Struthio camelus: one gene and its partners. The protein of the gene in region 2 interacts with the protein of the main gene of each other region in a pairwise test. Links are inferred from orthologs where the notes say so. Each region holds a gene or a part of one and is shown on either strand. Other genes may lie near its edges. The genes, in order: RPRM, TMEM79, TNMD and SEC22A.

Region 1 (5,837 bases), on a different chromosome or scaffold from region 2:
ACCCAGCTGCCCCCCAGGACCCGGCTGTCTCCAGGACCTGGCTGCCCCCCAAGACCCAGCTGCCCCCCAGGACCCAGCTGCCCCCCAGGACCTGGCTGCCCCCCAAGACCTAGCTGACCCCAGGACCCAGCTGCCCCCCAGGACCTGTCTGCCCCCCAAGACCTAGCTGACCCCAGGACCCAGCTGCCCCCCAGGACCTGGCTGCCCCCCAAGACCTGGCTGACCCCCAGGACCTGGCTGCCCCCCAGGACCCAGCTGACCACAGGACCCTGCTGCCCCCCAGGACCCAGCTGCCCCCCCAGGACCCGGCTGCCCCCCAGGACCCAGCTGCCCCCAAGACCTGACTGCCCTGCAGAACCCAGCTGCCCCCAGCCTGGCTTTTCCCCACTGCCCCCGTCCTGGCTGTTCCCTGGGACCCAGCAATCTCCAACCCAGCTGTCCCCTAGCCCGGCTGTCCCCAGGACCTGGCTGTCCCCAGGACCCAGCTGTCCCCTAGCCCGGCTGTCCCCAGGACCTGGCTGTCCCCAGGACCCAGCTGTCCCCTAGCCCGGCTGTCCCAAGGACCTGGCTGTCCCCAGGACCCAGCTGTCCCCTAGCCCGGCTGTCCGAGGGTCCTGGCTGTCCCCAGGACCCGGCTGTCCCCAGGACCCAGCTGTCCCCCGCTGTCGCCTCCCCGCTCCCCTCCGGCCACGGCGGCGGCGGCGGCCGGGAAACACGGGCGGGAGCCGGGCGCTCCAAGTCGAAGACGTTTATTAAAGCGGCGAATGGACCGGGCCGCCCCGACCCGCTGCCGTCGGAGCGCTCCGCGCTCGGCCGGGACCGGGACAGCGCCGAGGGCGGCGGCGGAGCGCGGCGCCCCGGGAGCGCGCGGGCGGCAGCGCACGTCGGGGCCGCGCCGCCGGGTGCGGAGCCGGGTGCGGAGCCCGGGCCGGGGCCGGGGCCGGGGCCGGGGCGGTCAGTAGGGCCCCACCACCACCGCCTCCACCTCCTTAGACGGGCGACGGTCCTTGACCAGAAAGTTGATCATGCCCTCGGACTTGATGAGCAGGTTGCAGCCGAGGAAGAAGATGCCGAAGACGACGGTGAGGGCCAGGACGCACATGACGGCGATCTGCACCACCCGCATGATGTACAGGCTCCGCTCGTCCGCCGCCGCCGCCGCCGCCCCGCCGCCGCCACCACCACCTCCGCCGCCGTCGGTGACCACGGAGGCGGCGGTGCAGCAGCGCAGCGCCCGCTCCAGCTCCAGCGCCGCGCTCCCGGCGCCCGCCAGCAGCCCCGCCGCCGCCGTCCCGCCGCCCGCCGCCGCCGCCGAGCCGTTCATCCCGCCGCCGCCGCCGCCGCCGGGGCGCCCCGCCGCCGCCGCCGCATGCAGCCGGGCAGGGCGCGCCGTGCCGCTCCGCGCCGCTCCGCTCCGCGCTGCCCCGCGCCGCTGCGCCCGGGCGGCTCCCGCCGGCGGCGCCTCCCGCTCCGCCGGCGGCTCCGCCCCGACGCGCCCGGCAGGGGCGCGCCGCCCCCGCGCAGGGCCCGCGCAGCCCCCTCCTCCCCCGCGCCGCCCCCGCGCAGGGCCCGCGCAGCCCCCTCCTCCCCCGCGCCGCCCCCGCGCAGGGCCCGCGCAGCCCCCCCCTCCCCCGCGCCGCCCCCGCGCAGGGCCCGCGCAGCCCCCCCCTCCCCCGCGCAGCCCCCGCGCAGCGCGTGTCCGGGAAGGGCTCTGGGCGGCGGCTCCGGGGCAGCGCGAGTTTGCGGGTGGCTGCGGGGAGGGGGCTGCGCGGGAGCAGGTTGTGGGGCGGGTTTGGGGGAGGGGGCTGCCGGGGTGGGTTTTGGGGAGCGGGTTTGTTGGGATGGGTTTTGGGGAGGGGGCTTCTGGGGTGGGTTTTGGGGAGCAGGTTTGTGGGGGTGGGTTTTGGGGAGCAGGTTTGTTGGGGCGGGTTTTGGGGAGCAGGTTTGTGGGGGTGGGTTTTGGGGAGGGGGCTTCTGGGGTGGGTTTTGGGGAGCAGGTTTGTTGGGGCGGGTTTTGGGGAGCAGGTTTGTGGGGGTGGGTTTTGGGGAGCAGGTTTGTGGGGTGGGTTTTGGGGAGGGGGCTTCTGGGGTGGGTTTTGGGGAGCAGGTTTGTTGGGGCGGGTTTTGGGGAGGAGGCTTCTGGGGTGGGTTTTGGGGAGCAGGTTTGTTGGGTGGGTTTTGGGGAGGGGGCTTCTGGGGTGGGTTTTGGGGAGCAGGTTTGTTGGGGCGGGTTTTGGGGAGGGGGCTTCTGGGGTGGGTTTTGGGGAGCAGGTGTGTTGGGGCAGGTTTTGGGGAGGGGGCTTCTGGGGTGGGTTTTGGGGAGCAGGTTTGTGGGGGTGGGTTTTGGGGAGCAGGTTTGTGGGGTGGGTTTTGGGGAGGGGGCTTCTGGGGTGGGTTTTGGGGAGCAGGTTTGTTGGGGCAGGTTTTGGGGAGGGGGCTTCTGGGGTGGGTTTGGGGAGCAAGTTTGTGGGGTGGGTTTTGCGGGGCAGGTTTTGGGGAAGCAGGTTTGTGGGGTGGGTTTTGGGGAGCGGGTTGGGGCAGGGGCTGTCTGGAGTGGGTTTTGGGGAGCGGGTTGGGGGGAGCAGGTTTGTGGGGGTGGGTTTTGGGGAGCAGGTTTGTGGGGTGGGTTTTGGGGAGGGGGCTTCTGGGGTGGGTTTTGGGGAGCAGGTTTTGGGGAGCAGGTTTCTGGGGTAGGTTATGAGAAACAGGTTTTAGGGAGGAAGTTCTGGGGTGGGTTTTGGGTTGGGGCAGGAGCTGTCTGGGGTGGGTTTGGGGAGCAGGTTTGTGGGGTGGGTTTTGGGGGGCAGGTTTTGGGGAAGCAGGTTTGTGGGGTGGGTTTTGGGGAGCGGGTTGGGGCAGGGGCTGTCTGGAGTGGGTTTTGGGGAGCGGGTTGGGGGGAGCAGGTTTGTGGGGTGGGTTTTGGGGAGCGGGTTGGGGGGCAGGCGGTGCAGAGCGGGTTCGGGAGCAGGTTCCTGGGGCAGTTTGGGGAGCAGGTTTCGGGGTGCAGCACCCTGCCAGGTGGGCCCCGGCCGGACCGGTTTGTTTTCGGTGTGGGACGCAGACGATAAGGTTGATTCTGCGGAGGGACGAGGGCGCCGGCAGCTCCTTGATGCGGAGAAGGGCGCTGGAAGAGCCGTGCCCAGGCCGCGCCATCGCTTCGGGCCGCGCCGGCGCGCCGTTGGGCCTGGCTCGCGGAGCGAGGGGCGCCCGGGTCGGGGGCACTGCGCGGGTCGGGGGGCGCCGGCCCGCCCCTGCCCTCCAGCTGCGTAGCCGCAACCAGCTCCCTTGCCTCAAAACGTCTGCTGCTTCTGCTTGAAAACCTATGCCCGGAACACCAAGAATGTATTTTAAGGAGTGTTTTGAGTAGCTAAGAAATGCGGAAAAGCACAACGCTCCCCTTCAGCACGCTCCGACGTGCACAAAGCATCTACGGAAATCCGGGGAGAAAAACTACAAACAGTTTGGGTAGTGTTACGTACAAACCTGACAGTGCAATTGGGCAAAGATCACATGTGAGAAGTGCCATAACTCTGAAAGCTAGTCATTGCGTTTCCCTGTGCGGGGTGGTGCATGCTGAGGCTTGCATCTCCCTGTGCAGGGTGGTGCACATTGAGGCTTGCATCTCCCTGCGCAGGGCGGTGCACACTGAGGCTTGCATCTCCCTGCGCGGGGTGGTGCACACTGAGGCTTGCATTTCCCTGCACGTGGTGGTGCACGCTGAGGCTTGCATCTCCCTGTGCGAGGTGGTGCATGCTGAGGCTTGCATTTCCCTGCACGTGGTGGTGCACACTGAGACTTGCATTTCCCTGTGCGAGGTGGTGCACGCTGAGGCTTGCATTTCCCTGTGCGAGGTGGTGCACACTGAGGCTTGCATTTCCCTGCGCGGGGCGGTGCAGGCTGAGGCTTGCATCTCCCTGCGCGGGGCAGTGCACACTGAGGCTTGCATTTCCCTGCACGTGGTGGTGCACACTGAGGCTTGCATTTCCCTGCACGGGGCAGTGCCCGCTGAGGCTTGCATCTCCCTGCGCGGGGCGGTGCACACTGAGGCTTGCATCTCCCTGCACGGGGCAGTGCCCGCTGAGGCTTGCATTTCCCTGCACGTGGTGGTGCACACTGAGGCTTGCATCTCCCTGCGCAGGGCGGTGCCCGCAGAGCTGGAGGAGCGGGCCGGGTGCGAAGCCCGCTGGCGGTGTTGGAGCCGCTGCGCGGGAAGGCGGCTGTGGCCAAGCCGGCGCCCTGCAGCGCCGGAGCGGAGAGGCAGGGGCCCGAGGGGCGCGCAGGTTGCGCTCCGCGCCGGCCCAACGCCAGGAGGGAGCGGGGCGCCGGGCGGCGCTGGCTGGCGCGGTGACATCCAGCGCGGGCAGCGGCGGCCGCGCCGCTCGCCTTGTGCCCCCCCGGCGCCTGCCCGCGGCTCCGCTCTACTCGCTTTGGGTGAGTTTGGGGGGCCCGGGCGTCTCGCCTGCTTCACAAGCGGCTCCGAAACCAGGTGGCCGCTCGCGCTCCTGCTGGTTTCTGTCCGTTGCATCCAAGGAAGGAAAGCACGGCCTCAGCTTGCTACAGTGCAACATAAGGGGTTGTTATTCCTTGATTAAAATAGAATTTTTTCCCTCTAAACAGCAGGCTTGGAAAGCACTTTACGTTATACCCTTAGGCTTACAGGGCAATAGAAACATTTATCTTTGCCTGTCCAAATAGAAAAAGAAAGAAAAAAAATCAATTTCTCTGGAGCCAGTTGCCATTAACGTTCTCCCTTTAGCAGCCCGGTGCAGGCTTCGTCACGGGCCGGCTCAGACTTTTTGGTGGGCTTTTTTTTTCCAGGAGGAAAAAATGCCCTTATCTCCTAGACTGCTTTTTCCTCCGGCGTTCAGAGCCGCGCTGGGATGCCCTTGCCGGCTGCTGGGCAGCAGTCAAAGCCTGCTCTTCCTGGTTAGCTGCTGCTCTCTAGTTGTTGCTAGGAATATAATTAACTTCTTCTGTCCCAAGGATGCTGGGGATTAAGTGACTGGCAAGGCGCGATGCACAACGGATTTCTATTACTTTTCGGTCTTGCAGCTTCCTAGCACGAGCAGGGCTGAGCATCCTTCCCCGGTTGTCCCTAGACAGATCGTTGCTGGCACAGGTTGGCCGTGCTGAAGAGCCACTGACCGCAGTCTGTCCGCAGAAGGAAAGCCGTAAAAGTGATAATAAAGATCTGGTGGTCGGGGGTGGTGGGATTTCTGACCCCGGCTTTCACCCGCGTGGGACCCTGCTAGCTGCGCCGGTACTCGAAGAGGCGGTATATTAGGAAATATCAGATGAAAGCAGCAGATGGTGGGCTTGGACTTAACAAGAGATGATTCTTCGTGCAAGAAGTGTACGCGGTAATCGTAGCTAAGCTGCGGAACCGCTTGCTTTAGGGCTGGCTACGTTTTTTCATGTTTTCCGAAAAGCGATTGAGCAGTTTCCTGGGGAAGGCTGTGCCCCAGGGACTCTTACATCTGCAGGCGTCGCCGCCGGCAGACAAAGCCCCGCGGGAGCACGGGGGGCCGCGGTGGGGCCCTTTCAGCACGCCCTTGCCTTGGCCTTAAAACCTTCGCAGGCGTTGGCTGCCGGCCGCCCTCGCACAGGGGCGTTGGGCATCCCGCGCCGTCGGCCGGACCTGCCAGCACCGTCCTGGGCTTCTCCTACGTGGTCCCTAGCCGGGGGACGGGCTGGCGGCCGACGCGGGAGCTGCAGTCGTGCGGCGACGTTCGCCGAAGCCGGTAAGCAGCGCCTGATGCGTTTGGCCTGTCGGAGATTGGAGAGAGCGTTGGCGTAGCTGCTAGCAAACGGGTGGCACCGCTGCGGGGTGAACCTCG
Region 2 (7,930 bases):
AGCCGCTTCACCCAGCCCAGGGCCACCTTGTCTCACCCGCGTCCCTCCCTGGGGCAGAGTTCCCTCGGACCCGGCCAACCGGTTTGCAAACCAGACGCTGAACCTCTGCCAGGAGGAGGAGGAGGGACATGCTGGGCCTGGCGGAGCTGCCGCGCAGGATCTGGGAACGGGAGGCAGGGAGAAGGGCCGGTCACAGTGCCGGGACAGGATGGGGAAACATCTGCTTTTTGCCCTCTGGGAAATATCATTTTGGGGCTGGATGGTGGCATCCCAAGGGCTGTGGGTGCAGCTGCAAGTCCTGGTGGTGAGGGTAAGTCCTAGGGAAATTCAATCATGGAGCCACTTAGTGAAGGGTTTTATTGGGCAAAGCCAACTCCAGCAAGAAGTTTGGGTCCCTTTCACCTGCCCGTTCCCATGAACTGGGCCCTGCTGCTTGCTGGGACTTGCTCTGGGGCCCCCATTCACCCTCCTGCAGGAAACTCCCAGCAGGGAGGGTTTCACAGCCTGGCCCTTGGCATCCCGCAGGATGTTGCTGGCCCCGGGCAGGGAGCAGGGACCCAGCTGGATCTGCCTGTCCCTGTCCACCTTTGAGGCTTGTCCTAGTACATCTCAGCCCAGCGTGAGGAGAGGGCACCCTGGGGGCTGCAAGTGAGCTCCCCGGTCTCCCTGCGGCCCCTCTCACCCCCAGAATCGAAGCTTGTTCCTGCTGTCCTTGGAGGGGTCCTCAGCCTTCGCGCCCACCACGGCGAGGTTTTCGGGCTCCAGGATGAACATTGCGTACAGGTTGTAGAGCAGCATGGCCAGGAGGGGCAGGAAGGTCATGCTGAAGCCGAAGGCGCGGAAGGAGCGCCCGATGGCATACGAGAGCCAGTAGATCAGCCTGGAGACAGGAGACAGGTCGGGGCTGAGCGAGGGCACGCTGGGAGGTGACACCGCAATGCCCAGGGCTCAGGAGTGCCAGCGACAGCGGGGCTTTGCCAGATCCAGGTGGCTGCTGTGGCAAGGGGGACAAAAACTGGGGCAGGAAGTTTTCCAGCACTGATGGACCCAGCTTGGTCCCTCCAGGAACCTGCAATGCCCGGGGCGGGGAAAGAGGATGCTGGGGTGGAGGGTGAGGGGCTGCTTACCGGGAGATGGCGAAGAGCCCCGTGAGCAGGGGGATGAGTTTCAGGGCCTCCTGCGGGAGGTAGGTGGCCAGCACGGCCACGTTGAAGAAGTAGAGGATGAAGAGGTGGACGGACTGGGAGACGTAGGTGCGGTGGATCTCCACCTCCTGCTGCAGCTCCCCAAAGGGCTCCAGCGAGGAGGAGCAGAGGCGGGAGATGCCGTGGACGATCATCCCTGGCGGGGCAGAGAGGTGGCCTGAGCCGGCAGCGCTCGGCGACCGAGGCGCGCGGCGCTGCGGGCTAAGGAAGCCGCGTTGGGGAGAGAGAACCGGACGGGCGCAGCAGGGCGGGAGGAGGGCAGGAAAACTCGGCCGCGTGCGAGTTTTGGCAGGAGTGACGGAGCTGCAAAGAGCTCCGCTCTGGCTTTGCCTGCTGCATCCCGCACCCCCGGGCGCGCGGCTCACCGAGGATGATGGGGAAGGTGGCAAAGGCCGTGCAGCGGAGCGTGTAGACCAGGCGGGCGCTGACGGTGGGCAGGAGCGGCGCGTCGAAGGGCAGGAAGACGTAGGCGCCGTAGACGAGGCAGGGGCAGAGGAGCAGGGCCCCCACCACGGACGCCACGGCCCTGAGGCTGCCGGAGCTGCAATCCACGGCGCAGGGGCACCGGGGCGCCTCAGTCGGCGCCTTGGCCGCTCGCCCCTCGTAGCCCAGGGCGTCCCTGTAGCGCGAGGGGCCGAGGGGGAGGAAGACCTGCTTCTGGCGGAGGCCGTCGGGTCTGTCGCCGCGGGGGAGCACGTAGCCCCCTTCACCCTGCTCCCGGGGCCGCGGGGCCGGCTGCTGCTTCCGCTCGATGCACTGCGGGTCGATGGGCACGAAGACGTGGGCCGCCGCCACCACGGGCAGCCCGTGGGGCTCCTCGTCTTCGGCCTCGGCCGGGGGGCTGGCAGGGCTGGCCTCCTCGGGGTCTTCGCGGCCCCCCTCGGGGCTCGAGCGCCTCTTGGCCTCTGCGGGCTCGGGCTGGCCCTGGGCGCCGTGCTGGCACTGGTCCCACGGCAGGGTGGCCTCGGGGTCCCCCGGGGGCTCGGTGCGGCCGGGGGGCACCTTGTCCAGGAGGGCGGCCGCCGTCCCCAGCTCCAGCAAGGCCATTTCCTCGGGGGGCAGGACAGGGTCGGCTGCAGCCATGGTGTTTCGGGGTTTCCTCCCGCGTTTCGGGGCGGCAGGAAGGGACTAGGAGGAGGATCCCATCCCTGCTGGACTCACCCTGCACGAGGAAGAAGCAGACAGACAAAAAGACAACAGGAATGAGAGGTTTTGGCCCAGCAATCCTCCCCGCAAAATGTGCCGAGGTTTCGGGCTGGGGGATGAGCCGCGTGCGGCTCGGGGCGGCTGGATCCTGCCGGGCCGATCCGAGCGCGGCGCCGGCCGCGTCCCGACACGTGTGCCGGGGAGAGCAGCCGGGGAGCGAGGACAGGCCGGATTTGTTTCCGACTCGGGGCGGGCGCAGGAGGGAGCCGCCGTGCCGCCTGCTGGGGGGGGAGCAGGAGATCCGGGTGGAAATCCCAGATTTTCCCCTCTGAGAGGGCCCCAGCCCTCACTGCCTGCAGGTGCGGGAGCCTCCCGCAGGGAAAATCCCACCGCAGGCGCCTTCCTCCACGCACTCCCGCCAGGAGCCCGGCGCCCCGGCCCGGCTGGGGGCATGGGGAAACCGAGGCACGGTGCGGCGCCGGCGATTTATCCGCGCTCCCACCGGGCAGGGGGCCTGAAACAGCACCCTGGCCGCGTCTGGGCCTCCCCCCGCCATTTCCAAACCCCCCACGGCGGGCGGTGGGGAGGCAACCGGAGCCGGGCTCCCCCGGCCCGGCGACTTACGTGCCGAGAGGACCGGGGGGAGACGGCGGCGGGAGCCCCGGCAGCGCCGCCGCCGCTGAGACCTCTCCGCCCTGGACTTCAAACCTGTTTAACCGGCGAAGGTGGGGCCGGGCCGCAAGGGGCTGGCGCAGCCGCCTGGCCCCACGGGGCGGACGGGCTGAGCCCCACGGGGGAGGCCTCCCCCATGGCGGCCGCCAGCCTGTTTTCCTCGTCGCAGCCAGGGGTTTCGGGCGGGAGGAGCCCCCGCCTTGTCCCCTCCGCAACCCCTTCCTCCCCCCCAGGCCTGCCAGCTGCCCCCGAGGGCTTTTCTGCTGGCAGGGAGAGGGCAAAACGGAGGGCGGCCCCCAGGCCGGGCAGGCCCGAGGAGCACCCCAGCATCGTCACCAGGAGCTGGGGGACTCCCAGGGGGTCCCTTGGCACCCGTCGAGGGAGCTGGCGCCGGGGGAGCCCCCGAGGGGCTGGAGCTGCCTGGATGGGGGTGTTCATGGCGGGGGGGGGGGGTTTCTCCCTGCGGCCCCAGGCCTGGCCTGGCCTGGCCCCCTCCCTCCTTCCAGCTCTGCTTGTGCGTGTCCGCCGCGCGGGGGTAGCAATAAAGCTCGTTGAATGACGCCGGCGCGGCCGCCATGTTTGCCAGCACTAAGTGCTGGCAGCGATGGCGAGGGGAACTCTCGCGAGGTGACGCCGCTCCGCCGCCATGTTTGCCAGCACTAAGTGCTGGCACCGTGGTGGTGGGGAACTCTCGCGAGGTGACGCCGCCTCTCCCCGTCCTCCCCCCCCACAACTTCACCGGTCTCGCGGCAAATCTCGCGATAGCGGGGCGCCAAGTCTCGCGCGGCGCGGGGCAGGGGGCAGCGGCGCAGCCATGGCGGCCGAGCGGGGCCGGTGGCGGCGGCGGCGGCGGGTGGCGGCGGCGGCCGGGCGGCGCGGCCGGTGCTGAGGAGGCCGCGGGCCGCGCCGGGCCTTGCCCGCGCCGGGCGCCATGAGCCAGGGCGGCGGGGCCCCCGGCGAGAGCAGCGAGCCCGAGGCCAAGGTGCTGCACACCAAGAGGCTGTACCGGTGAGGAGCTGGGCCGGGGCCGGGGCCGGGGGGGGCGCTGGGGGCATCCAGGGAGGTGGGTCAGGGCGAGGGCGGGTGGAGAGGGGCAGGGGCTCCGGGGGGGTGTGGGGAGGCAGGTCAGGGAAGATGGAGGGGGGTGAGGGGAGATGGGAGGGCCAAGGGGAGGAGATGGGGAGTCAGGGAGGATTTGGGGGGGGGACCAGGGGGAAGAAGACGGAGGGGGATTCAGGGAAGATGAAGATACTGGGGGAAGGAGATGGGGAGGGGAGCAGGGGTGAGGGGTGGTGTGGGATCCAGAGGAGATGGGGCAGGACATGGGGGGGACATCGGGGGAAAGGGGGCATGGTCAGCTGGGTCAGGATGGGGGGGAGTGGGAGATCCGAGGGTTGCGGGGGAGTGGGAGATCCAAGGGGTGAGGTTGAGACCAGGGGGAAGGAGATGGAGGGGGATCCAGGAAAGATTTGGGGGGAGGGATAAGGAAGGGAAAGAGGGTGTGGGGGGTCTAGTGAGATGAATCAGGACAAGGAGGGTGGAGGAAGGATGTGTGTGGGATGCGGGGAGATGGGGCAGGATGTGGTGGGGGGCACTGAGGGAAGGAAGCGTAAGGGATGTAGGGGGATAAGGCAAGATGTGGGGAATTCAGAGAAAGAGGGAGTTGGAGAGGGAAATCATGGCACTGGCAGCGCACAGGGAAGGCACAGGAAGGGGTGGAGAAGAGGGTCCGGTGAGCAGGTGCTTAGGCCAGGACATATTCCAGCTGCACTGGAGGGCAGGACTGCTCCAGCTGCAGATTTTTCCCATTAAAACGCTTCCTGGGAGTCCACTCTCCCTTCCATCTCTGCACTGCGCGTTCAAAACGGTGTCGGAAGATAAGATGCAGGAAGTCACGGTGGCCTCGGTCTGCTCACCCCAGCAAGGACGAGGTGCCGTTCTGGCAGCGCTGCGCAGCAGTGCCGCACACCCCAGCTGTGCTGAGCGCTGCAGGAGGCTCCTCTGGGGAGCGGGAGCCGGGAGCCAGCCTCTGCTCTGCCGGTGACTTGTTTTGTGCCTGCGGCCCACTCATTGCCCCCTTGCGTCTCAGTTTCTCCATCTGTAGAGCAGATTCATACTGGAGTTTCGGGAGTGACAATGTGGTTTCTAAGATGAGCAAGACGGTGAAGGCAGGAAACGGAGTTCATGCTAGGGTCCGTTTCCAGTTATCTTGCTGACTTGCTCGATGACATTGGGCATGTCCTTTCCTCTCTTGGAACCTCGCTGCCCTCCTAGGTAAAACAGGGATAGCTTTGTGTCCCTCTGAGAAACATGATGAGATCCTTGCCTAAAAGTCCAAAGCAGTAATAGCAGTTTGAATGCTAGCTGCTAGAATTTGTTTCTGTGTCCCTGGGGTGCTTCATACAAACCTGTCCCCTGCACTTTGAAGTTACATTACCTCTTTTTTTTTTTTTTTTTTGAATTGCAAGGCTTGTGGTAAAATGCAATGGCTTGGGTTACCCAAGGTGTGGGCTTTGCTATCACACTGGAAGCGCCTCCAGGGCCATGGAGCTCTGTGTCTGCTGTCAGATCAAAATACCCTGTTTGATCTTAGGGGTGTATTCCCCCAAGTGCTCGTAACTGAGCTAGTGCAGCATAGCAATGTACCTTCTGTCACCTGAGGAGCAGTGGCAGGGATTGGAGAGGATGTGTTTGCTCCTAGGGCACCCCGCTTGCAAAATAAAATACATTTTGTTTAAACTACCTTCATGTTGGTTTAAGACCTGTTTTACTTTGCGGTTACAACGGGTGAGGAACGTGTGTGGGCAGTAGTCGTTTCGTAGCTCGGCTGACAAGCGGTAACTCACTGTGCTACTGAAGCTCACAAGTGAAAGTCCCTTCTCATGCGTTTGGTCATTAAGCCAAGGAAGAGGTTGTTCTCTGTTTACGTTTTTATAGCAGGATTAGGTGCATGGTTGCTTATAGCATTTTTACAGCAGAAAGCCACGTTCCTCCAGACGTCTCTTTTCTTCTGGCTCAAAGTAAGTATTGTGATCTTACTGCAGCGTTTATAATACCTGCAGTGGTCACAAATTTTCTTGCTGTGTAGCCGATAGGTCTCTTAGCAAGCTTTCTACCTGAACAGACTCTCTTGTGAAATTTTCTGCTTCAGCCTGAAGTTCGGTTAGACGGGGTGGTAACTTTCTCTGCTGTGAGAAGTACTATATTCATTGAACTTCACGTGATGGCTGACTACTGTCTCTGGAAACTTTGGCCATCAGGTTAGATTGTGCCTTTGAATCGCAGATGTTGGAATGTCACAGTCCTTTGCTATAAAACATGCTCACATGGGATCAGCTTTGTGCCAGTTGGTTTGTGAGAGCAGCAGGATTTGGGCTCAGGTCTCTGCAGCCCTTGGCCGGGGCTAGCCAACGACACTAGCTACGACAGTGTCCCTTTGGAAATGAGGTTGCTCATCTCTGTTCGTAGGATGGTCTTTGATCTTTTCCATTTAACTCTTCCTGGATTGATAATCCCAGGGTTTCACCCCAGAATGTGGCCACTGGATTATACTGGGTGCTGTTTGACAATGTACTCTTTAATTTAAGATGACCACGTTTCTTTTACCTTATTCTGGGTAACTGTTGCTTACTGGCTTTGCGCTACTCTTCTTCTTATTCTGGGCAGTATTATTTGTGTACTGACGTGTGCTGGAATATAGATGAACGACCGCAGCTTCTCTCCTTGAGACATGTCGTGCTCCTCAGAGGCTCTTAGTGATGTATTAGATAAAGAGATAGAGAGCACGAATCATTCTCCCTGCCATCTTGCCCCTGTCCCAGAATGTTAATGGCACAGAAGGAAAGTGTTGGATCCATTCCTGCCTGCTGAAGTGGACTTGGCACTGGACTTTTTCCACCCTGCTTGGCATGATGTGCTGCGCTTGGTTCTTTTAATAGACTGGTGTCTGATTTGCTCCCTCCCTTTCTGACATGCTGTCTGAAAGCAAGGTTTAAGCCCAGCAGGTACAAAAATGGGCACTGAGACAAAATTTGACTTCTTAACCCCTAAGTATAATTCAGCCCATGGTCTCAGGCCACCCAGGGGCCAAACTGCTAAGCTGCATTTTAGTCAGTGTGCAGTCTGCATCTCCTGCATTGGTATTCCCTAACTTTTTGAAGTGAGCCTATCCCCTGTCCCTTTTTGTCCTCGTTGCAGCCCCTTTCCTCACCACCTGCAGCCTGGGATGCCTGCAGTTCTTTGGTGGTTGTCACAGTCTTCCTCACTGCTGCCTCTGCTTCCCCCAGCAGCAGCCTGGAGCTCGCGCTGATGAGAAGACCTTTCAGCGTGGGGTCTGCCTTGTGCCTTGTAGCTCGGCAACCCACATCCTAAAAGATGAACCTTGTTGCCCTGTGGTTTTTGAGTTGCCAACCCTCTGTTTCTTTGTGAACCCATAAAAAGTAACAGAAAGATCGGTGTCTCCAAGCACCCATCCCTGGCTGTTAAAGGAAAGTGTGTTGTGTGGGAGACACCCTCCAGGATGCCTCCTGCTCTGTGCTGGAGGGGAAAGTGAAGTACCCTCCAAGGTCCATGCTGAGATGTCCCTGGAAGGAAACTTTTGTGCACTTTATGTTTGGCAGGCGTTTGAGCCGTGGTGCATGTGAGTAGGCTTGTCCCTTAACTCCTTGATTGCATTTCTTACCCACTGATACCGCTGGCAGCCAGGTAGCTGCCCGTTTGCTTGACTCTCAGAAAGGGGACTCTGGCAATTGCCTTTTGAGTACTTCATGTGATTTCATGGGTGTTGTGTTGTGCAGTATCAAGATGCGTTTCTGTCACTGCTAAACTCAACCAGATCCTTAGATGAGACTTTGTGGCGCTCTTTTAGCTATTAAAAAAAGAGAGACTTGTGTGGCGTATAAGCACTA
Region 3 (8,331 bases), on a different chromosome or scaffold from region 2:
GAGGGAGACGTCAGCTGCTCATTTCCAAAGCTACGGTTTCCTTTGTTTCCTTTTATGCACATCTGAGAGGAGCTCTGGAATATTACTTTAGATCTTAATAACCCATTCAGCCTTAAACTGTTTCTAATAAAATGGTTTTCTGTGTGACACCAATACACACACACAGCTTTCAATTACATTTTAGCACTCCCCATAGGAAGTAGCTCCTTTTGGGGAGAAGTGACTTGTGATAGCACAGGATTATGGGTTTGGTCTTTGCATTACAGATATTCAAAGCCTGGTGGAAAAAACAAATGCTCGGCACGTCTGCTATAGCTGAAGTGAGCCTTGTGCATGGGGAAGCATTTCTGAAGAAGTTAAGTATTTGAAATAAAACCGTGTAGTCATCTAGTAGAACAGAGACATGAAATTGTTATTTATCAAGATGAAACCAGCGTTTGGATAAAATTCTCTGGCTCTGTTAATAACGTCTGTTGACAAGGGAGTCACAGCAGCAGGAAGGAGGCAGACGTCCCCCTAAGCCGGCGGCAGTGGCGGCACGGCTCTAAGAAGGAGGATTTTTCATGGGCTGTGAGCAGGGAGAAGAAGCATGTGTCTTTGCTAACAAGTTTCTGAACGGCTCCTTCGGAACGCCCACCGTGAATTTATCTTGTAATACGCTTTCCTAAAGGTTTGTCAGCTTTGAATAATCTGCTGCGGCTACAGATTTCCGGAGGGCCACGTGACCGCGTGCGTCTTGTTCGTGAAGTCCAAAACCCTCAGCAGTTTTCTCAAAATGATTAAGTTTCTTAACCTAAATCAAGCATATCTCTGGAGTTTTCTATGAGCACATGAACTTAAGATAAACAGTGAATGATGAATAGGCCAATTACTGAAACCTCTCTTCGGCAGAGGCTGTATGCGGCTCCTTGATAAGAGGAGATACGCGGTCTCTCACCTGGCAAAAGTTTCAGAAAACAGGGTACTCTGAAGCAGAAAGCGCCCTGCGTAATCAGCCCAGTGGCTAGCAAGCGATTTCCTTTTATACGCGATTTTTTTTCCCTTTTGTCCCTTTGCTGCCCCAGCTGCTGGACATGGGAGGGGAGGGAACGGCTGGCCCGGCAGGCGTGCCGCAACCACCCCGCTTTGGGGTAGAGCCCCCCAGAGACCTGAAACACAGCAGCGTCGCTGCCGGCTCGTGCGACGGAGATAAGCCTCCCCTCTCGCCGGGCGAGCGGACGGGCGCCGCTTTGCCCGCCCGGCAGTAAAAGCCGCGAGCCGCCGCGTCCCACAGCAAACGGTATGATTTACTTACTACCTATGGAATTGCCCAATTAATTCACTATCCACATTAATATTATGGCTCATTTTTAACTTTACTGCCTCCGTCGTTCCAATTTAGTGCTGCTCAGAGATGCTGCCGCTGACCTTAATGGGTTTTTCATTATTATAAAGAGCGCCGTATTAATCACGGTTCGTTTTCTGCTGGAGGTTGCTGTCCGAGCCCCACTGCTTTGGGGAGCTGCTTTTTGGCGTAGCCGGGGCGGCTTCGTTTCTCGCCGCAGCTGACGCTGTGCACGGACTGGAGCGCTGCCCAGGAGGAATTTCGTGGTATCACGTTTCCAGACACACGGATGTTACGCGGCAGTCAAACTACATTATGGACACGATAAAGTTTTCAGGGCAAACGGGAGCGAGGAGCCCCAAAAACCTACAGGACGCAGCACTCAAAGCCAACGAGCCTCTTATTGTCCTGTATAAAAATCAAACGCCTTTTAATCGTTTGAAATGTTCTTCTGGGTATCAATTAGTCACACGTTCTATCAGGATCGCTCTTCTTCCTCTGTTCGCATCAGATTAAATTCTCCCCCGTCGTACAGACTCGCGCTCATTAGCTTCTAGGAGCATTAGCGGCTCTTCCCCGTCGTCGGCGCTGATGGAGCGAACCTCGGAACGAGGCTTTTTTTTGGACCAAAACCCTGATCGCCCTCCTAAGGCGATCCCATTTCCCCCTCCCAAACTGTCGCCTTTCCGTTCCCTGGGGCGAGCGGGGCGCCGGCCGGGGCTGCCTCTCCGCGGGCCCCCGCGCAGGGAGCCAGCCCTCCGCCAGCCCGCTTCCCCAGGCCTCGGAGCAGCGCCTCGCGTTTCCTAAACCTGCTTTATTGCTTTTCGGCCGAATTTTATCGCTGTTTCTGTTTTAACCCCAAAGTCTTTTTTTTTCCCACGGACCCTCTGGTGGAGAAGGGAAAGAGTTACTCCTTCCTGCTGGCCGGCCCGGCCGAACTTGGCAGCCCGCGGTGGCGCGAGGCCGCCCGGCCGCTACCCTCGCTGTTCTCCCGAACACTGCCCCGCTGCTCGCGCGTGGTGCCGTCCTCCCAGACACCTCGCCAAGGACTCGTGATATTTATTGAGTTTTATTAACTTCCAACCCGGGGAGTTTCTCACCTCCAAGAGCTAATTCAGACGCCTGGCTCCTGCCGGAGTTACAGTGATTGCCATTAAGAAGCTTGACATTTACCTTACAACAGTAATAAAATAATAATGCCTAATTTGGTGTACGAGTGGCATTTGCAGCGTTTGCTGTCCGTAGGATGGGGGATACTGCGAATATCGCTGCAACGTTGATCACTTACGGCTGCTTAACAGCGCTGCTGTAATTCTTCCCTGTAATCATAAAAGTCGAGCTTCCAGTAGAGCTGCTTCAAAGTTTTCCTTTGAAACGGCAGGAAAAGAAAATGTTTTCAGTCCAAAACAGACATTCCAGTTCCCAGTGAATAACAAAAGCTTTGGAGGTGAAAGTTTGCGGTGAAAAGAAAAACGTGGCATAGAGACGCAGCGCCTGCCTGCTTTGCCGCGTTTAGGTTGCCAAAGGGCTGCAGACCTGCTCCAGGGCCCATGACTGCCTTCCTTAAAAACGGACTTTTCTCCTCCAAATAACCTGCCGCCACTGACTCGTGGCTACGATTGCCCTCCGTTGGTGGCTTCGCACAGACTGAGAACCAGTATGTGTCACCTTCTCAGGTGGCTGCTGCTGAATGAAAAGAAGAGACAGTCTCTCCGGAGCCGCCACGTGAGCAGCATGGGAGGAGCGGCAGCGGGCACAGCCCGGCTCCCTGCTGGTGCGCCGAGGGAAAAGGGGCCTGGCCTTGTCACCGATGCCCGGCTCAGCCACCCGGCTCGGCCACCTACCTTGGTCACCCAGCTCAGCCACCCAGCTCAGCCACCCAGCTTGGCCACCCAGCTCAGCCACCCAGCTCAGCCACCCAGCTCAACCACCCAGCTCAGCCACCCAGCTTGGCCACCCGGCTTGGCCACCCAGCTCAGCCACCCAGCTCAGCCACCCAGCTCAACCACCCAGCTCAGCCACCCAGCTCGGCCACCCAGCTCGGCCACCCAGCTCAACCACCCAGCTCGGCCACCCAGCTCGGCCACCCAGCTCAACCACCCAGCTCAGCCACCCAGCTCGGCCACCCAGCTCAGCCACCCAGCTCAACCACCCAGCTCGGCCACCCAGCTCAACCACCCAGCTCAGCCACCCAGCTCAACCACCCGGCTCAGCCACCCAGCTCAGCCACCCAGCTCAACCACCCAGCTCGGCCACCCAGCTCAGCCACCCAGCTCAGCCACCCAGCTCAACCACCCGGCTCAGCCACCCAGCTCAGCCACCCAGCTCAACCACCCAGCTCGGCCACCCAGCTCAGCCACCCAGCTCAACCACCCAGCTCAGCCACCCAGCTCAGCCACCCAGCTCAACCACCCAGCTCAGCCACCCAGCTCAGCCACCCAGCTTGGTCACTGGCTCGGCCACCCAGCTCAACCACCCGGCTCAGCCACCCACCTTGGCCACTGGCTCAGCCACCCAGCTCAACCATCCGGCTCAGCCACCCAGCTTGGCCACTGGCTCGGCCACCGGCTCGGTCCCCCAGCTCAACCACCGAGCTCGGCCACCCGGCTCGGCCATGCTGCTCGGCCCCCCGGCTTGCCTGTGTAATTGTAATTAGCACACGATGCACTCTGGGTTTTCATTAGCATCAACAGGTTGGAAAACCAGCGCAGAGCAGCTCGGCGGCGGGGGCCGGGAGCGACGAGCCTGCCCAGAGCCGCAACTTGGCTTTTCTGAGCGCGGCCCCTTTCGGGGGAGCAGGGGTGGGGGGTGTGCTCCCCGCAGCCGGCCGGCCGCCCTCGGAGCAGCGCGCCCTTCAGCAGGCTCCTGGGCAGCTCCACTCCGCGGCAAGGCAGACTGCGCGCCACGAGCGGGGGCCCCCGCACCCCCGGGGGGTAGGTGGCGTGGCCCCCTCGCACACCTCTGACATGCCTGGGGCTTTCGCACATGCCTGCACACCTCCTACACGCATGGTACTCACGCACATGCCTGCACACCTCCTGCATGCATGCTGCCCACCCACATGCCTGCACATGCCTGCACACCTCCAACACGCATGGTGCCCATGCTCACGCCTGCACACCTCTGACACACATGGCAGACACGCACACGCCTGCACATGTGCACTGCACCCCTGCACATGCCTGCACATGCCTGCACACACCTGCACATGCACATGGCACCTATGCACACGCCTGCACACCTCCAACATGTGCATGACACCCATGCACACACCACACATGCCTGCACACCTCCGACATGCACATGGTGCCCATGCACGTGCCTTGCACATGCCTGCACGCCTCTAACATGCACATGGCACCCATGCGCATGCTGCACACACCTGCACACCTCTGATGTGCGTGGCACCCATGCACATACCTGGACACGTGTGCACACCTCTGTCACATGCATGCTGCACACCTCCGATTCGTGTATGATGCCCATGCACACTCTGCTCATGCCTGCATACCTGCAACACGTGCACGGCACCCATGCACACGCTGCACAAGTGTGCACGCTCCGACACACACACACACGCCTGCACACCCCCGACACACACACGCTGCACACATGTGCACACCTCCAACACACGCACACACGCTGCAGGCGTGTGCACGCCTCCGACACACAAGCTGCCCACGCACATGCTGCACGGGCCTGCACGCCTCCGACACGTGCACGGCGCCCATGCATAAGTTGCACACGCGTGCACAGGGCCGTGCCCTGCCCGGCAGCCCCGGGGGCCCCCGCGCCGTGCGCGCGGGGCCGCAGCATCGCAGGCCCCCCGGCGGGGCTGGCGGCCGCCCGGCCGCTCGGAGCCAGGAACGAGCTTTCCCTTTCCCTGCTGGCATGTGCATCCGGCGCCGTCCCAGCTCCACCTCGCCGGCGGCTCCCGTCCTCGTCCCGGCCGCGCGCGCGGAGCGCACCCGCCCGGCACACCATGGCAGGGCCGGCCGCGCAGAGCCCCGACGGCTGCTGCTTTCGGGACGTAAGTGGGTGATTTTCCCCGCCGGCGGGGCTTTGCTCGCGGGAGAAGAGCCCGACGCGCGTGCACGCTCGGCTCTGCCCCCCCCGACCCCTGGATATCGCTCTTTTGTAATTAATCAGGCAGAAGCATCTAAAAGCGGAAAGAAGACCTGCACCGGATACCAGAGCTGTGGGCTGCTCTTTTGCGTGCTGGTGATTTTCCTTACGCTGGTATTTTTTGGTGTAAAATATCTCTGGAGCCCAGCGCCCAAGAAGGTAAGTAAAGCCTCGCGGCAGCGGGGCGCTCGTCCCCGGGCGGCTGCTCCTGCCCGGGCGCCGCTTGCAGCCAGCCCCTCGGACGCAGGCAGCTTCGCAGGCAGTATTTCCTTACGCCGCAAGAATTCACCGGGGTTGGGGGGGGGGGGTCTTTTAAAAACGTTTGTACTGTTCGTATCCGACTTTTACTTTCTATGGGCTGTTTTATTTTTCCCGTCAGCGCGCTGCTCTTCTCCTAGCGGGTAATCACGGGCGGATTGGGGAGGGGGGCTCTACGCCGTAAAGAGTTAAAGTCGCTCCCTTCCACCAGCAGCAAGTTTTATGGCGAGTAAGGAAATATTTTCCATTTCATTTCAATTTATCTTGCCAGAAACCGGTGGAAAAGTCATTACGCCGCGGCATAAAGAGGAGGCGAAAGCCAGGCGGCCGCGGGTCCGATTTCTGACGCTAACGTGTCCGCCACGCGGGGCGGGGGGGGATGGCGGGCCGGGTCGCTCCTCTGCGCCCCGCCACCGGCCTCGCTCACCCCGCCGCCAGCGCCCGAAACGCCCGGCTGCCGGGGCCCGGGGGCCGCTCGCTGGAGGGAGCGGGCCGGCGCTCGGGCCTGGGCCGCCGGGGGGGAGCGGCCCGGCGGGCCGCGAGCGTCGGCCTCTCCTCGGCGAGGAGGGACAAAAGGCCCGCGCGGCGCCCTCGGCCCGGCTCCCTCCCGCCGCGAGGGGGTGAAGCCGCCGGCCTCCCTCGAAAGGCAGCGCGCCCGCGCGCCCTGGGCCTCGCTCGCCGCGGCCTCGCCGGGCCGAAGCGCCGGGGCGGCCGCGGCGCCGGCGCAGTCGCCAGCCAGCGCCCCTTCCCGAGGGGGCGTTTGACGCTTGGATGGGCGCTTGGAGAGCGCCGTTGCTGGCAGGCGGCCGGAGGTACGCTGGCGCTAGGATACGGAGGCGCCGCTAAGAGCGGGAACGGTTTCGTTCCCGCTCCGCGAGGTGTCGGGGGCCGAGCCAGCCGCCGGGAGTTTTCCGCCTGGCCGGCTCCCAGCCGGGGCCTCGGCTCCCCTGGTTTCGCTGGTGCGGAGCGGAAGAAGAAGGAGGGCGATGATGTTTCCGACGGTTTTTCCCTTCGGACCGCCCGATGGGCGAGCGAAAGGAGCGGCAGCGGGAAACCGAGGCCGTTCAGGCGGCCGAGCCGCGCGCCGCCCCGCTCCCGGCGCCTCCGTCTCGCGCGTGGTCACGAGGCGACGGCTCCTCCAGCCGGCCCCGGGGATCTCTCCCGTTCGGAAACGTGAACCAAGGGCAATTCACCTCTTTAAAGAACAAAAAGCCTTTCAAGCTCTCTTCGTAAAGCTGAAGAAGGCAAAAGATCTTTGCGGGGGGGGGGGTGGGAAAAAAAAATAATAATAAAGGTTCCTCCGGAGGGGTGGCCTGGGACGCGTGGCCACGGCTGCCGGCCCCCGCCGGCCGCGGGGACCCGCCAGCTCACGAGAGGCTGGGGGGACATATTTCAGAGAGTCGCAAGCAAGGGTAATTTCTAGCCCTATGAAACATGCGGCGGCTCTCCCGGTAGCGCACAGCTGGCCAAACCCAAACGGGCTGGTTGGCCGCGGCGCTGGCAGAAATAATTCTTCCCGAATAGAGAGAGCAAGTCTAATGTAAGGTGCCTCATGGGATCGCGCTCGCCTACGAATGATTTACAGCGCCGTGCGCGTTTTGTCAGTCAAAACAGGCAGCCTTCCAGCCATTTCAGGCTTCACACTATTTTTTCCATACCATAAAATCCACTGGCACATATATCTCTTTGTAAAAGCCTCGTGCTGACTAGCAAGGGAGGCTCGCGACTGCCAGGGAAGCTCATCGCGCTTGCAGTTTTCAAAGTAGGAGGCGAAGGTGCCCAGCAGGCGCCGCGCTGCCCGGCTGGCATCCGCTCCCGTTGAGCAGCTGTGCGCGGGGACACGTCCGTCCTGAAAACGTCTGCAGGAGGTTTGGAAACCCGCTCACGGAAAGGGCACGGCCACGTCCCCCAAGCTGGGGTACAGCCCTGTCCCCCCCCGACCTGGGGCAGGGGGCACTTTGGAGGGGGTGGGCAGCGTTTACCACCCTCTTTTCCGGAAAGCAGAGCCAGGAGCGCCCGCTCGCCCCGCCGCCATTCGGCGCCCGGGGGGCTGCGGCGACCCCCGCGCGGTTTCGCCCCTGCAGATTTACGGCCTGGAGCACACGTTCCTCAGCAATGGCGAGAAGCAGAAGGTGGTGATGGAGATCGACCCGCTGGCCAGAACGGAGACCTTCAGGACCGGCAACGGCAGCGAGGAGATCCTGGAGATCCACGACTTCAAAAACGTGAGTGCGGCAGGGCAGCCCCTCGGGGACGCCCGGCCGGACAGGACCGCGCCTGCGCCTAAACGTCAGCGCGGGCCGAAAGCCTGGCTGCGCCGGGGCCGATGGGACCCCTCAGGGCGCAGAAGGGTAAACCCCAGCACCGTTTATTCCGGGTGAGGGAGAGCAAGGCCTCCGTGCAGACCGTCTGGGGGTGCTTCCCCAAGGAAAAGATATATATCTACACGAGCTTGCACCAGTATTTAATACTGGCATGGTTCAGTTCCAAGGAAATACATTTTAAAAGCTAGATCTAGTTATCGGATTTACCCTTGCAAAGGAATGCAATCACCATAAATCTATCCCAACCCAGTACATTTATCTGTCTGGAGAGCATTAAAACCTCGTGACAACGTTGTAGGC
Region 4 (7,593 bases), on a different chromosome or scaffold from region 2:
CTCCTCTCTTTCCCCCTGCACAAAGGGTTTACACCTGGATATTTTTGAATAACAATCAATATTCACGTTTCTCAAGAATATTTACTCCTCACAGAGAAAGTTGTGCAATAATAGAAACATTGAAAATTGGTTGCAATTTTCAGGTTAAGAAAGAAATTCAGCTGCTTCTTCAGCGGCAGCCAAACTTCAACCTGCTTTCAGATGAGTTATGTTAACTTAGCAATATGAGTTCCAAATGAATGCCCTTCTAACTTTATAGTGCATCAGACTTTCACCAAAGTTGTAACAGCAGCAGAAGCCACTGCAGCCACCGAGAGCCTCTGAGCCCTTGCCGGTTCCTACCTACGACAAGCCTACTGGTGCAGGTAGGCTTCTTAATCCAGCATCTCACCACAGAATTCCCTAGTGTACAAAATGCTTTGATCAGAGTTGGATACTTCAGAATTTCCTCTAGGTTAGTTTGCTAGAGCAAAGCATTCTAGAAATTTAGCCTACAGTTTTGGCAACTTGTATGTATCTGCACTTATGTTTATGCAAGTCTCCCAGTAAAACAAGTCACATGAAATACAGACCACACACACGGCACTCGTTTCCTTAACTACGCTGCCAACCACATAACCCTGGCAGTGGCTCACAAGCATGACACAATCACAGGGGATGTAACGTTTCTCGGACAACAGCTGCTTTTATCACTTGGGACTCTGGGAGCAACATCAGAACAATAATGTGATAGCAAAAGTTTATAATTCCCCTTCATTAACTTACTTGCACAAAACGGAATTTCATGGATCTGCATTTCCTCTGGTGAAGTAACTTCATTAGCACCTAAAGGGAAGAAAGGACCCACAGCTCCATGTCCTGTCTTAGGAAAAGGCCGCAGGTAAGACAGCAAGGCAGGAGAAACTCAGAATCCTGAAGCCAGCTCTCCGAAGAAAAAATACTGTTCTGTTTACTTTTTATATGATCTCGATCACTGAAGTTCATGTCGAGCTATCTGATGAGACAAGATTGAATAAATTAATACATGCATTTTGTGGCTAACGCTATTATTCAATTCTTTTTGTGAGGCCATGCTCATCAGAAACAGTTTACTAAATCTCCAAAATGAAAACGCAGCTTTTACTTGGCTTTCTAAACAATCAGGCTCCGCAGAAAGCACCAGCTGGCACGTTTGATACAGACATATATACACAGAGGCTGAAGAAAGAACATTAAGGATATAACAGAAAACATAGCTGATTCTTCACAAACCATGCCGTTAGCCAGGGGAACTCCTTGCCACAGGATGACGTAGATGCTGAAAGTTTAGGTGGATTCAAGAGGTAACTAGATAAGTTCACAGATTAGCTAGAAGGGTTACTCTATCGAAAAGACTACCCCTTGCTCAGGAAGGGCCCGACCCACAAACAATGAAAGCACACTACGGCAAAATCACTCTGTGATGGTGCCAGTGTTACGCTTCTCTGTACGCATCTGCTTCTGACCTGTCTTTACGGATTTCCCCTTACACTAAAACTTCACAGGCCTCTCTGAAAATCGGGACAGGGAGAGTTCAAGGAAAAGAGAAACATGGAGAAACCAGACCACAGACGGGAAAGAGTGACCCAGGTACGGGCGTTCCTGTGTTACTGCACTCTCCCTAAACCTGCCAGAAAATCGTCCACACTCTGCTGCTTTCACAAATGGGAATTATTATTCCTCCCATTAGAGGGAAAACTGGGATGGTGCAAATCAGAGCCTGTTACTGTATTTTTTTAAAGATAGATCCAGTTATCATCGAGTTTATCTATGTGTTATGGATGACACTTGGTCCTGAGGCAGCATCAAGAAAAGTCCTAGAAAGTGGTCTCTATTCCAGCCTTCCTCTGTAAGGGATTGGCCTTTCAGTTTGACATATGACAATATGAGTTTTATACTTATCTGTCTTCTCATAACTCTTTACGAGAAAACATCCAAAAGTGGTCTGTGAAAACGGTTTGCTCAGGATACGCCAGTCTTTTAAAAACAGACTAGCTTCAGAAAAATTGAAAGATATTGTAAATAAATGTAGTGTCATGGCAGACCTACTCTCCTGCACCCGCGAGCTTTCAGCATCTCCTTAATTAAGCCTTCCTTGCCAACATGCCTGCCTCTCCTATTAACACTCCATAAAACACAAAATTGGGTTGTGGTTGCAAGCCAGGCGGCTCCTTGTAAAAGCAGAACGAAGATACGGTTTCCATGCTTACTTCAAGCATACAAGAGAGCCTCAGAAAATTTGTTTTCCTCTCTTTTGCAGGCTGTGACAGCTGTATTACACAGGGAGCAATCTCAGTCTCCCCACTCCTCAGCACCCTTTAGAAACCCATTCCGCCACCGAAAACACTGCCTAAGGATGGGAGATAAATAAAGCCACTTTGACATTATCAGCTATGATCGGACTAGGAAATAATCCCAAACCACTAGCCCGTATAATCCTTCTCATAAAGAAGAGGGAGGGGGAAAAAAAAAAAAAAAAAAAAAAAGGAGAGCGCAGCGCTTCAGACCCCCGCAGGGCCCGGCGAGGCCCGAGGCCCAGGGGCCGGTGACCGACCCTCGCCCCCAAAAAAGCGCCCCCGCGGGAAGGGGCCCCGCGGCTTGCAGCCGCGCCGGGCTAACCTCCCCCTGAGCAGGGCAAAACGCCGGCAGCCGCCTCAGCACCTGGATGTTTCAGGACAGGACACGGAAGACTTTCGCCCCTAACAGCCACCCTCGCACTCGCCGCGCTCCCCCCCCCCCCCGGTAACGCAGCAGCGGCGCGGGGAGGGGGGGCAGGAGAAGGAATCGGAGCCAAATGTCTCTTGGCTTTACCGGGCGACCCCTGCGCACCCCCCCGCCCCGGCACCCTGAGGGAAGGAGGGAGGCAGGGAGAGAGGGAGGCCGGCGGCCGCCCCCTCCCCAAACGGCGGCGGAGCCCCTTCCCCGCCAGGCCCCGCGAGGGGGCCGGGCCGGGCCCGGCCGGGCGGGGCGGGGCGCGTCGCTAGGCAACGGCGCGCGGCAGCGCCGGGGGAGGTGGGGAGGGGGCGCCCAGCTACCTGCCTCAGCGCAGCGGCGGCACCGGCGCGCGCGCTGCCCCCTGCCGCCACCGCCGCCGCCTCCCGCCAGGCATTGTGGGTACCGTCCACGTCCGCCCGGCGGCTAGGCGGTGGCCGTCACGTGACGCCGACGCGGCCCCGCCATTGCTCCGTGGGAGGGGCGGGGCGGGGGCGTCGCCATGGCGACGGGCTGGGGCGGGGGCGCGTTGGGATCTGGGCCTGGAGCGTCGCGCCGGGCCCGGCTGCCCCGGGGCGGCGGCGGCTCCTCGCCGGGGCGCGGGGCTTCTCACCCCGGGGGCTCGGGGAAGGGAGGGGGGGATCCTCACGTTACGGCCCGAGGGGACCCTGGAGGCCGAGGGGTGCCGCTGGGCGCCATTTCTTTAGGCGGGGCCCAGGCACCGGGGCGGCTGCGCTTCATGCCGCCATGCCACTCGTGAGGGGCCTTGCCAGAGGACCTGCCGCCCCCGCGGACTGCAGCACTCACCGGCAGGCCGAGCGGTCGTGGGGGCTGCGTTTGGCTGGTAGCTGTTGCCGAAGGGTTGAAAGGCGCCGGCTGTGCACCTGTCGCCGAAGGGCGCGAGGGCGTCGCTCGGGTCTCGGCCCTCGGCCCTCGCGTCCTTCAGGAGCGTCTTCAGCACGCTCCTGCCTCACGCATCTTGGCTAAATGCTTACTACCCTGGTTTTCTGAGGAAATGAGGCTTCGTCATCACGCCCTGTGGGTTCTCTTGTGTAATAACTTGCAGCTATTTGGCCGGTTTCAAATGAGTTTGAGCAGAAGTGTGTGGAGCACGCCATATGCTTAACGCTATATAAATAACACTATACGTGTTTTTGTGTGTTTTCTGATCAGGCAGCACACACAAATGCAGATCAGGAGGAAGTACAATGACATAGTTGGCACCAGAAAAAGTGCACTAAGATGACACGCAGACTGCCATACCGTAATTTTTGTCGTTCTCGGAGAAATCCACTGGGCATGCTTTGAAAATAACTGACAATACCAAATTGAAAGTTTACCAATCTCATTACTGATCCCAAAGTGAGAGACCTGTTTTAAAACTGCTTTCTTTAACAGTACAAGAACAATTTTCTTCCTGTATTGCTCTTCAGCTTGACTTTTTTCGGATTGTGTCATACGGTTTTAGTGCAACTCAAATCTTAAATGAAAGTAGCTTATTTCCTTGCTAACACCTTTTAATTTCTCCTTCCATCTCTCTTACTACTTAACTGTACACGTTTTTTAGCATTGCACAGTACCGATAACATACGTCCTGCACTAAACTCTCTGGTTCTACTGAACTATATTCAGGAACCAGGTAATAAGGAAGGCAGCATCAAAGTACATTAATACTCTCCAAATTCAAGCTTGCCTTCTGTGGCAGCGTAAACTGTTTCAGCTGGGCACTTAGGGCAAGCCCAGACACCAGCAGCTAGTATGAGTCATGTGTCTCCTTGCTGCCTAGCCTCGAGATAGTAGGTGTGAATGCCAGTGATTCAGGTGTAGCAAAATGCTTTCTTGGATCCACGAGCAACCAGGTGTAAGTTGTTTCTGCTGGAGATAATTTAGCCCTTTCAGCCTTCAAGCTTACTACCACGCTTCAGGCAAAGCTCAGTCGAGCTGAAGACTCTAGCTCTCTGTGTCAAGCTTTATTGTGAGAAGGTTTACAAGGTTAAATACAGCTATAGAGTTTAATAACAGAGATGGAGGGAGGCAGTAAGAGGTGTTGGCAAAAGAGAAAAATTGTTTTCCGCGGAGACTCGAATGAGACGGAGAATGGATGAGGCAGAGCAATAGAAGAACGCCACAGCAGATGGCAGGAGCACCACCCGGACACTATCAGGAGTAGGGAGACTGTATGAAGGAGAAAGACGGGAGTAGACACACAGGCAGACCACTGCAGGAGAGGAATGAGGCGAGGTCACCTGCAGACGTTTGATGAGATAGTTCCGCTTTGAACGTTAAAAGCGGCACACACACACAAAAAAGTCATACCCTGGAGACCACTGGGGAGAGAGCCTCTTCTGAACGCATTCTCACCTGCCACGGTGGAAGTCAGTCGTGGCAGAGGAACTGATGAAGTCTTTGCTCCGCAAACATGTCTTCCTCAGCCTCACGGGGTCTGTGTGTTCAGTTAAGCTCCTTAACATTTCCAAATTAGAATCTCAGCCTGTCGGGAAGAAACTGTGTCCCCTGTGGGGTTTTTTTTAGAACTGAGCACAGGAACATGCCCGTCTTGACTGACTAGGCCCAACTATAACATAAGTTGCAAAGATAATGCGCTAATCTAAATAATTTCCACAGAGTCCTTATCCTGTATAAACAGAGTGCACGGTATTACAAGCTGCTACACAGTTTAATGGCATGTGATAACATCTACTATAATGCTGAGAAGTAGTGATTGCTTAATTAGAGGCTGCCTAAAGGTTTGTGATAAGTGCACGTGTGTGTCATTTTAATTTTTCTGCTTCCTGACTGTGAACTGTTTATCTTTGAACCCGAAAATTCCCTTGACCGTTTGTAAATGTTTTGAAGAGAAAAAGATAAGAATTTTGTGTTTCTATAAACAGAACTTTGGAAATTATATACACATCTATTCATTAAGCCTTATACCTTCTTACGAGAAAAAGGTAAAATTCTCTATAATCAGGTGAAGAAACTGGCCCCAGGAGGTTAAATAAATTGCCTGAGGTCACTGACGGAGTTGGGGCAGAGTCAGAAATGGAATTACAGCTCCAGAGCTCCTGACTCCCTCATGGTGCACTTAAATCATACCCGTTATTCAAGAATTTGCATGGCTAACAAGCCAGTTACATTTCAGATATCTTTCTTCCTGTCCCGTTGACTCCCCTAAGACAACGAAGCAGTAAAACATTAATAGGGGGGCACCATGCACTGAATAAATTAGTGAAAGCTGCAGTGAGAGATAAAACTGAGATTCCTAAGAACTAAATCCAGTCAGTGTAACAGCAAATAAGTGGAGGAATGTAGGTATTTTTAAAGGAGGAGGAGAGATAAAGAGATCAAGAGGACTGCAAGGCTGGGAATGGACAACTTCAAAGGTTAAGTGAGGAAACTGAACTTTTAAGCACCGGTGCCAAATAAGTCCCTGTGGTGTCAAAACCCTCCAAGATGGCAAAGAGGTGCTTATTCATGAGTACACCAAAATAGTGAAATATAACATGTGATAGCTTATCATGTCATCAGCCAAGCGAAGACAAAAACCCAGCAACTGAGACGTGTTAGCGTGGGATTTAACCCACCAAAGTTTAATGGTTTGAAAACCGCCCAGTGTGAAGCACCTAGTTGTTGCTATTCCTCCTCAGTCACTGCAGGGGGAGCCAACATGACCAGCCTCATTTAGATGCCTGGTTTTCAGATAGCTAAAGAGAAAAGAGGTAATTCCCACCCGTGGGCTTTATCCGCTGTATTTAAGGACAACTTTTAAATCAGGTTTCTTAGAAAAGAAATCTTCAGCCTGAGGAGCCTGTAGTAGTTACGGAGTTGCGGAGTTGTAGAGAAACACAGAGGTAAAGGTCTGAAAGGACCCTCAAAAGGTCATGCAGAAAATTGTACCTCAATTTCTTTGTAGGAAATTAAACTGATAAACACTCAGTGGATGTGGAACACATCAGATCACTGATCCACTTTACAGCCCATTTTTAATGGGGAAAAGTGCTGCTGGGCCCCTTAGCCATCTTGGATTTAGACTCAAATCTGTTCATTCTTTTCTAAAACTTGTGTTTACTAAACATCTGTATAATCTTGTTGCTCCTTTGTCTGGATTTTGTCATTTTTTTCTGGATCTTTCTTAAAGATTGGTGCCTGAAGCTGCAGATATTATTTAAGCCAAAGCTTTAGCTGGAAAACAGCCTAATTATCCCGTAGTGTGCTTCCTGCTTCTTGTATAGTAATGCCAGTTCCCATGAAAACACAGATATAGTGAATCAGTGGCTGTCAGTTTATGTTCAGTAGAGCCACAACTTCACTACAAGTGCTTAAAACTTTGCATGAGGCCTCCAGGAATCAAGATACTGGCTAAGAACTCCTGACATCCTAAAAACTCTGCACTTTGGAAAAATTGCATCTGATTTTAGAGGTTTTAGAGAAGCCCTTCTCCATAATCACAAGAGCTAAAAACATATTAGTTGGAGCACTGATGAAACTCTTAGGCAAGAATGTTAGAATAGTGTTAAAACAGAAGGATTAATTCCTTTCCCTCGCCTCCAAGAAAAAAAAAAAAATCAGAGCACAAATTAGGATATTTGACAACAAAGCCATTGCTTCCCTGGCTTAGGAACTGATGCTTGCTAACATAGCATCAGCAGAAGCGTGAGCAAGGTCATAAAAAAGGTCAGCAGAAAATATAGTTTATTTCTTTGCTTATTTTTTAAACTATTTCTCCACTGACACATTCTCAAGAGTCTGTACTGGGTAGAAGAGGTTCTTCCACGGAGCAACGACGTTTCATTCTCAAGAACCTAACAAGTCTGAAGCCACCTCATAATGTCACATAAAGTATTTCACTGGTAATAAATGCAG

The links.
Region 1: the proteins of TMEM79 (region 2) and RPRM interact in binary tests that used the Homo sapiens proteins (3 or more experiments, as listed by UniProt). The two-hybrid records come from large-scale screens. The link is inferred for Struthio camelus from reciprocal best matches to the Homo sapiens genes TMEM79 and RPRM.
Region 3: the proteins of TMEM79 (region 2) and TNMD interact in binary tests that used the Homo sapiens proteins (3 or more experiments, as listed by UniProt). The two-hybrid records come from large-scale screens. The link is inferred for Struthio camelus from reciprocal best matches to the Homo sapiens genes TMEM79 and TNMD.
Region 4: the proteins of TMEM79 (region 2) and SEC22A interact in binary tests that used the Homo sapiens proteins (3 or more experiments, as listed by UniProt). The two-hybrid records come from large-scale screens. The link is inferred for Struthio camelus from reciprocal best matches to the Homo sapiens genes TMEM79 and SEC22A.

Annotation. Positions count from the first base shown.
Region 1 is NC_090947.1:45,058,968-45,064,804, forward strand, and holds RPRM (protein reprimo), read right to left. Parts: upstream 1,325-5,837; coding exon 956-1,324; 3' UTR 895-955; downstream 1-894. UniProt on the Homo sapiens protein: May be involved in the regulation of p53-dependent G2 arrest of the cell cycle. Seems to induce cell cycle arrest by inhibiting CDK1 activity and nuclear translocation of the CDC2 cyclin B1 complex.
Region 2 is NC_090971.1:3,915,247-3,923,176, reverse strand, and holds TMEM79 (transmembrane protein 79), read right to left. Parts: upstream 3,342-7,930; 5' UTR 2,976-3,341; intron 2,368-2,975; 5' UTR 2,289-2,367; coding exon 1,571-2,288; intron 1,342-1,570; coding exon 1,128-1,341; intron 881-1,127; coding exon 679-880; 3' UTR 333-678; downstream 1-332. Other genes in the region: nonsense-mediated mRNA decay factor SMG5, read left to right, coding at 3,955-4,031.
Region 3 is NC_090952.1:21,964,812-21,973,142, forward strand, and holds the start of TNMD (tenomodulin), read left to right. Parts: upstream 1-5,253; 5' UTR 5,254-5,306; coding exon 5,307-5,354; intron 5,355-5,473; coding exon 5,474-5,608; intron 5,609-7,791; coding exon 7,792-7,932; intron 7,933-8,331. UniProt on the Homo sapiens protein: May be an angiogenesis inhibitor.
Region 4 is NC_090947.1:33,818,392-33,825,984, reverse strand, and holds the start of SEC22A (vesicle-trafficking protein SEC22a), read right to left. Parts: upstream 3,216-7,593; 5' UTR 3,054-3,215; intron 2,979-3,053; exon of another isoform or gene 1,252-2,978; intron 995-1,251; 5' UTR 766-994; intron 1-765. UniProt on the Homo sapiens protein: May be involved in vesicle transport between the ER and the Golgi complex.